2 linked regions of the Cricetulus griseus genome follow. The protein of the gene in region 1 interacts with the protein of each later gene in a biochemical or structural test. Links are inferred from orthologs where the notes say so. Each region holds a gene or a part of one and is shown on either strand. Other genes may lie near its edges. The genes, in order: Arfip2 and Arf5.

The links.
Region 2: the proteins of Arfip2 (region 1) and Arf5 form a complex in vitro, tested with the Homo sapiens proteins (2 studies listed by BioGRID). The link is inferred for Cricetulus griseus from reciprocal best matches to the Homo sapiens genes ARFIP2 and ARF5.

What each region holds. Positions count from the first base shown.
Region 1 is NC_048596.1:94,062,973-94,066,880, forward strand, and holds the start of Arfip2 (arfaptin-2), read left to right. Parts: upstream 1-1,627; 5' UTR 1,628-1,777; exon of another isoform or gene 1,778-1,882; intron 1,883-2,557; 5' UTR 2,558-2,599; coding exon 2,600-2,698; intron 2,699-2,917; coding exon 2,918-3,014; intron 3,015-3,677; coding exon 3,678-3,796; intron 3,797-3,908. Other genes in the region: Timm10b (mitochondrial import inner membrane translocase subunit Tim10 B), read right to left, coding at 868-1,044, 1,208-1,303, 1,451-1,480. UniProt on the Homo sapiens protein: Plays a role in constitutive metalloproteinase (MMP) secretion from the trans Golgi network. May have important functions during vesicle biogenesis at certain cargo subdomains, which could be predominantly utilized by secreted MMPs, such as MMP7 and MMP2.
Region 2 is NW_023276806.1:199,367,792-199,371,699, forward strand, and holds the start of Arf5 (ADP-ribosylation factor 5), read right to left. Parts: upstream 2,834-3,908; 5' UTR 2,736-2,833; coding exon 2,669-2,735; intron 2,148-2,668; coding exon 2,067-2,147; intron 1,550-2,066; coding exon 1,440-1,549; intron 1,083-1,439; coding exon 1,011-1,082; intron 561-1,010; coding exon 435-560; intron 315-434; coding exon 228-314; 3' UTR 1-227.

The sequences.
Region 1 (3,908 bases):
TTACGGTTGAGAACAATGTAAGATGGAAGGTAGAGAGCTGGAATTAGGAGATTCCAGACAAACAGTGAAACACTAAGGAAGCATTAGGAGCCACACAGATTATATTTAACCACCCCTCTATCACCATCTACCTTTCCCTTTGATTTCTCTTCTTTAGATTTGACTAATGTAGGCCTTCTGACTTGCCTTGAAGACAAGAAGAAAACCCTTCTTTGTTTAAAGTCCTTATTGCTGATTTCACAAAGACAGGAAATATTTAAGATGGTAAACTGGGGAAATGATTGAAATTCTAGACAATATTCCCACATTCTTACAGGCTTATCTTTGATCTCCTAAGAATTGGTGGCTAAAGCCTATTGTGGTGCTGTTTTCTTCTTCCTCTTGTTGTCTGATATCACATTCTTCCCCTAGATGCAGCACAATTCTTTTTGTATTACAGCTCAGAAGAAAACTAGTTATTATGCAATATATATTCAGGCATTTGAGTTAGGCTCAAGGATAGCCACTGAGAGCTCCCCTTTTGGAACCAATTTCCCATTGCTATTACTAACCTTAAAACTATGTTTTTGCTGGGGATCTGAGAATGCTGAGTTTGTCCTACTACATTACAGAAGGCAATTTCTCAACTGCCAGGGCTGAGGGGAGAAGATAGGCACTAAATGGCAGAATAAAGGTTGGTACCAATAAGTGGACATAAATAAATTCCTGCCCAGAAAATCAACCAGAGTAAAAACCCGGTTTATTGGCTCCAAGAAAAGGAGCAATAGTGCCCAGCTTTCAGGCTCAATCTTTCTGTACAAATTTCGACAAGCCCAAGGTTCATAGAGGAGCCCATCCAAGCACCTTCTCTCCTGGGGCAGGCGATGGCTAGCTGCCTGATGGCGAGTCTCTGGGTTGTTCTGCAGTAACACCTGGCACGGCCGAGGCAGCCTCGTAGTCCGCGATGCGGCGCTGGACAAGGGCGGGCATGAGGTGGACGTAAGCGGCCATGAGGCGGTGGTTAGAATGGATGAGCTTCCCAGCACAGCTGTGTAGACAGGCCTCCTGGAAGGAAGACAGAGGTAAGCAGAGACCAAAAGGGGTCCTGTCAAGCCCTCCTCTCCGGGGCCCCAGCCTAGGGGTGAGGTCATGGGAGACCGAGATGCAAACGGGGGGTGGGAGGTGGACACGTCACGTTGTCAACCTCTGGGGTCCCCACAGTCCCCACCTCCTCAGCGTCCAGAGCTCGGTGGTGCAGGCTGGGCACACAGCGCTGGAAGCACAGTTCTGTCATCCGATTGTAGACCAACAGGAAATCTCGCAACTAAGAGAAAAGCGGATCAAGGCTTCACCACCGCTGAGGGTTCCTGGCGTGCGCAGTGCAGCCTGCCTTCCCCACTGGGGGTTCTTGCATGTACCCCAGAAAACAAACCGCACGTCTAACCCCGAGAACAACTTAGCTCTTACTCACGTTTCTTAGTTGCTGCTGCTGCTGCTCCATCACGCTCGGGGCACGCAGCCCACTTTACTTCCTCCCTGGGGGCGCGGAGTCACCCCGGAAGTAAATTCTCCCTAGTCACCAAGAGCTTCAAGGCGTGGTTCCAGTATCGCCCAGCCCATGTCTGCTAACGTCACCTCCGCCCTTTTGCTCTGCGACGTGGCCGGCTTCTTCTGCCCAGAGGGCACGTCACTTCCGCCGAATCTCTGACCTGCTGCTAAGATCGCGACGGGAACTGGAACCCGAGGTCCCCGCGCGGTCCGGCCCTCGCGCCCTGAGGGGAAGAGTGGCCCGGCCCAGGTGAGAAGGACATACTTGTACGAAAGGAAGTTGAATGCACGAACCTGTGCGGAGGGCAAGATGCCCTGAGCCCTTGGCAAGGATGAGGACACACCTGATGCCCAGGTGTGTGGGGGGGTGGTGGAGGGGACCTCTCACATCTGGAAGGCATAAACTGACTTTGGAAGGGACTGCCTGTGTCCTGGGAAAGAAGCTTTTAACTGACACCGGGAACACACCAGCTGCTTCAACTAAGGCCTGGTGGGGAGGGCCTGAGGGAGGCAGGTGCATGAGATGGAGAAAGGAGAGACCATTTGAAGGAAGAGGGGAAGGAACATCAAAGGATTTGAAAGACCAGGGATTGCAGAGCATGCTTGAGTGGCAAGTGAGCATCCGAGTCTAGGAAAGGGTTTTGCCTTCTGGTAAACATGCCTATGCAGGGCCAAGTTCCCAAAGAGCACAGACATTCCCCTCTGGCCCTCACTGCTGTAATCCCATTGCCTCAGTATCTGACGCATAGTAGGCACTCACTAAGTGTTTGTTGAGTGACTGAATGTGTAAAGGTTACTAAAGGTGAGGTTGGGGTTTGTGAGAAGACACCCAAGGCTTTGGTATACATGCATCTGTAGAAATAATGTACTTGGAAGAGAAGAAATACACATCTCCAGGAAAGTAGGGGCTGATCTCCAGGGACACCCAAGTCCTAACAGACAACCCCTGAAACCTATTAGAACACAGGGAAGGCCTCCTTGTTCTGGAGTGCTGGCCAGTTTCCAGAATTGTCTGTGTTGGGCTTTACAGCGTGCTGGGGTGGAGACCTTGACTCCAGTACCTTCCCTAGCCATGACGGACGGGATCCTAGGGAAGGCAGCCACAATGGAGATCCCAATCCATGGAAATGGTGAAGCTGGGCAGCTTCCTGAAGACGATGGGCTGGAGCAGGTGCTTCTGTTTGATTCTTCTAATTGTTTCAATTTAGCAATCCTGACTCTTGAATGTTTCGCTTTTCCCATCCCAATAGACTTCATTTAGTTAGTCCTCCTTATAGTTTTCAAGTCGTCATTATGATTCTATACAGACTTTACTATATACTGTCTCTATCCCCAAAATATTTCAGCCACCCCCATGTTCCTGAAGTGCCCCCTCTTCTCTGATCTATAGGACCTCCAGCAGGTGATGGTGTCAGGACCCAACCTCAATGAAACTAGCATTGTGTCTGGTGGCTATGGGGGCTCTGGTGATGGACTCATCCCCACAGGTATGAATGATAAGAGACAGGAGGCTTGAGTGGGAGGGAGACTAGGAGGCACATAGAACACATAGGAAAGCGTGAATCATGGATTGGAGAAACTTGAGAACTGCTAGTGTGAAATCCATAGACTGTCCAATCCCAGATCAGCTCTCTGAGCTCATCATCTGCTTCCCACTTGCCATTTAGATTCTAGCTTTCTCAATTGTCTTTTCTTTCCCTGGTGCCACCACCTGAGCCAAGTTAAGACCTATAAGTCACAAGAGCTCTGCAGCTTAAGGCTGATTTACAACTTTGTGAAGCTTCTCAGAGTTTTATAAGAGTCTTATACTGACTAAAATTCTACTTGGAAATACAAACCAGCTTCCCTGTTTTCTGTGCCCACCAGCTTTGACCCTTCCAGTCCCACTCATCATGTTTGCTTCTGTTTCTTCCTTCCCTGTCCACCCAACAACACTCCTACACGACCCCAGGAATGCCAAATACATACATTGAGTTGCTTTGGTTTTCGGGACCTAAGTCCCCGTTCCCCCTAATGAGCAGAAGAATTCAGTTATCTAGATTTCCTCTTTTAGAGAGGTCATTTCATGTGCTGGGAGGGAAGGAAGTGAGGTCACAGAAGTATCTGATTGTATGTGAGAGAAATTGGTGTTAGAGAACTTGATCCTTTAGGGTCTGGCCGCCATCCATCTCACAGCACCTCACCTTCTGGCCCTGGTGATGAGGTGGCCCGGGGCATCGCCGGAGAGAAGTTTGACATCGTCAAGAAATGGGGCATCAACACATATAAGGTAAGAGTCGAGTGCCTCTTCCCAGAAACTCTCCATGGGTACCTTTTCCTTTTCCCCAGATCTTAATACATAGTCTTTTGCTATGACTAAGAGAATGGGGGTGTTGGAGTAG
Region 2 (3,908 bases), on another chromosome or scaffold:
AAGCCCATCCACAGGTCCCAGCAGGCAGGAGAGCAGAGCCCTCTGTGCCCAGAGAGCGAGGCTCCAGGCTCCCACGACAAGAGAACATGCAGGCAGGAGCAGGAGCAGAGGCCTGTCTGTGGGGAGGAGGAGTGGGAAGGAAGGGCACTGCCTGAGGAGTCCGGGAGTCTGGTCATCCCGGGATGCACGCGGGAGCTTCCGGGCAGCAGGGGCCTGCCCCTGGCTGGCTAACGCTTTGACAGCTCATGGGACAGCCAGTCCAGCCCATCATACAGGCCCGTGCCTTGGGTAGCACATGTGGCCTGGACATACCACTGTAGGAAGAAAGAGAGGTAGATCAGCATCAGGGAAGACAAGGAGTACCTTTCTACCTTGGTCTAGCCTGGGGATCCTGAGAAAGACCAGACCCAGTGCAAAGGGGACAAGATCCTTACCGTGCGGCTACGCAAGTGCTGAAGCCCCAGCTTGTCAGTCAGCTCGCTCACAGGCATGGCATTGGGCATGTCCTGCTTGTTGGCAAACACCAGCAGCACGGCATCCCGAAGCTCATCCTCCTGCAGCTGAGACGGGAGAAGACAGGGTGGAACTATGGCTGCAAAGACCCTGGGCCCCCTGCTGACTATGTTGTAGCAGGGTTCCCTACACAGAGTACTATGCAGCTTATTGCTGAATAGAAGGCAGTTATAAATGAGCGCAAAGCCCCTAAATTTTACCCCTAAATTTTACCTCCAGAAAGCCTTCAAACAAAATGCAGAACATTAAAAAACAAAGAAAAACAAGAAACATGAGAGGTTGTTTCTCTTTACCACAGATAACCCCTCTTCCTCTCCCCAACTGCTTAGACTCAGACAGAAAGGGATTTAAATGAAAAAGTCCTGCCAAACTGGGTGAGGTGCAACTCATCCAGTGCCACAAAAATCTCCTATTCCCCACCCACAGAGTACTGGACTTCCATACCACCTCAGAGAACTGTTTGTCACCAAGCTCAGTTCTCTGATCTGGACACTCACCATCTTCTGCAGTTCATCAGCAGACTCCTGGACCCGCTCTCGGTCATTACTGTCTACCACGAAGATGAGGCCCTGAGTGGGAAGGAAGAAAGGAAGCAGGAGAGATCACGCCCACCTACGCCCAGCCCCAATGTGGCTTCTTCTCATTTCTCCCATCTTTAGTGGTATGAGCCTTTCTCATCCAGTACATTTCTATTAAGGATCTGTGCCCCAAAGACAGAGGGGACAAACAAAAAGATGTTCTGTTTGAGAGCTAGAGGAGGCAGCATAGCCCAGAACCCTGCCTCCCAGAATAAGATGAGGGTGAGTTCTTAAGGAGGAGTTCTTAAGGGGAGAGGGATGAGGGCCCAGGACTCAGCCAATACTTCATTCCAGGCCCGTCCCACCCTCTCCCTGGGGTTGTCCCTCTACCCTCGGTCCCCACCCCACCTGAGTGTTCTGGAAGTAGTGCCTCCACAGAGGTCGAATCTTGTCCTGGCCTCCAACATCCCAGACTGTGAAACAGATGTTCTTATATTCCACTGTTTCCACATTGAAGCCTGCAGACAATGTTTTTGGAGAGAGAGAGAGAGAGAAAAAAAGTCCTGAAAGGAACTCACTAAAACCACTTGGATCAGCTCAGCAGTGGTGGCACACCTTTAATCCCAGCACTCAGGAGGCAGAGGCAGGTGGATTGTGAGTTCGAGGCCAGCCTGGTCTACTGAGAATTCCATGACAGCCAAGGCTACAGAGAGAGACCCTGTCTTGAAAACAAACAAACAAAAACAAGAAAACAAGAAACAAACAAACAAAAAAACCCCACTCGGATCTCTACAGGCACACAAACTCAGGGGGCAATGACCAAGGCCAATGGGAATAGAATCCAGAAGGACCGGAGGTCAACAGATATGCTAGGCTCATGGTCCACGCCTCAGGCACCAGCAGGCACGCAGAGATACCGTGACCCACTTCTCAAGTAGCTGTATCTGGTGTCAGGGTCAGGAACAGATAAGGGCCTCAGCAGCACCAGGAGCAGACCCCGAGAAGGCCCGAGGCGACATTCGTTCCCGGGCTCACCTATGGTGGGAATGGTGGTGACAATCTCCCCCAATTTCAGTTTGTACAGGATGGTAGTCTTGCCAGCCGCATCCAAGCCAACTGCAACGGAGAGGGGCACAGAATGGAGACGGGAGCGAGGGAGCCCCCTAGAGACCAGGGACAGGGAGAGGACTGGCCAGCTGATGGTGATGGGGGCGGAGAGCGGGAGAGCCTCCAGGTGCGAGCCGTTCTCCACCTTCCGGGCCTTGAGGGCAGTCTGGGTGGCGAGTGCCAACTCCTGCCGCCCAAGCGGCCGAGGGGCGAGAGGGGCAGGAGAGGTGGGGGGCCCGGGAGGAAGGCCGCGTTCCTTTGAAAAGTCGTTTCCAAGGGCGGAATCCTCCCTGCTTAGCAGCCGGGCTGGGGCGGAGGAAGCGTCACCCCACCCAGGCCCCAGCTCCGGGTTCCAGGCCCGGGGCGGACACCGCAGATCCCGGCCTGCACCCGAGCGCAGCCCCAGAGGCTCGGGCGGTGGGGTGTCTCGGGGTCAGGGTACCAGGTGAGCGGGGCTGGAGGGACGCGGGGGCGGGAGGGTTGCGGCGGGGCCGGCGCCCCATCCGGGCCGCGCGCTCGATCTGCCTCACCCATGAGGATCCGCATCTGCTTCTTCCCGAAGATCCGCGAAAAGAGCGCGGACACCGTGAGGCCCATGGTGGGGCCCGGGGCGGGGGCGCGGGCAGGGACGCGGGGTGAGGGCTGGAACCGGCCGGTCGCGGGGGGATGGGGCGCAACAGCAGAAGGAGGAGGCGCCGCCGCCGCCACCGCCTCCGCGCGTCCGGGCCCGCCCGACGTCACGTGGCCACGCCCCTCCGGGCCCGCCCCAGCCCCGCCCCCAAGCACGTTTGCGGAAGAACTGAAGTCTAGCGAGGCCTGGCTACCTTTCCCTGGCCGAGGCTGGAAAGGGCGCAGTAATCCTGGGTCTTAGGACCACTGCGGGATTTTGCTATGTTCTTCGGTCATAGACTTGAATTCCTAAGAAGGCCCTGACAGGTTCGAAAAATAGCTTTAAAAGATTCTCAGAGTAGGGGCCGCAGAGACGGCTCAGAGGTTAGGAGTACTGGCTCTTCTTCCAGAGGTCCTGAGTTCAATTCCCAGCAACCACATGGTGGCTCACAGCCATCAATAATGAAATCTGGTGGCCTCTTCTGATGTGTGTATACATAATAAATAAATCTTTTAAAAAAATTCTCAGAGTAGTTTATTCTCTTTTGTTTGGAGACACTGTGCCCACTACGTCACTAGCTTTGGGTGGCCTGGGACTTGCTGTGTAGACCCGACTAATCTCGAACTCACAGAGATGCGGCTGCCTTGGCCTCCCGAGAAGATTCTTAGAACAGAAATACTCTCTTCATCCCTGTTGTCACTACTATTTCACTAGTCTCTTTTTATGCCTGAGTCTCCTCACAGGCTTCCCGCCCCCTTGGTGCCTTCACAATGTCACAGGAGCCTTGCTTTTTAGCCCCTCCCCACTTTTATTTCTCGTGTGTGTGTGTGTGTGTGTGGGGGGGGCGTGGTGTAGAAGTCAGAAGACAACCTCCTGTGGGATGTGTTTTCTTCTTCGGCCATGTGGGTTCTCTTGATAGAACTCTGGTCAGGTCGTTGGGGCTTGGTGGAAAGTGCCTTTACTGCTGAGCCATCTTACAGGCCCCACAAGAGTCTCGACGGTGTCCTCTTGAGATTAAATCTTTTAATGTGTCGACGCCCGAGATGAAATGCCTTTAAGTTGGGTCCTACCTGTTCCAGCCTCATCAGTAGCTGCGCCTCTCTCACCCCACGCTACTGTTTAGGAATGATTCTTGTAAACTTTTCCACTTTCTTTGATAC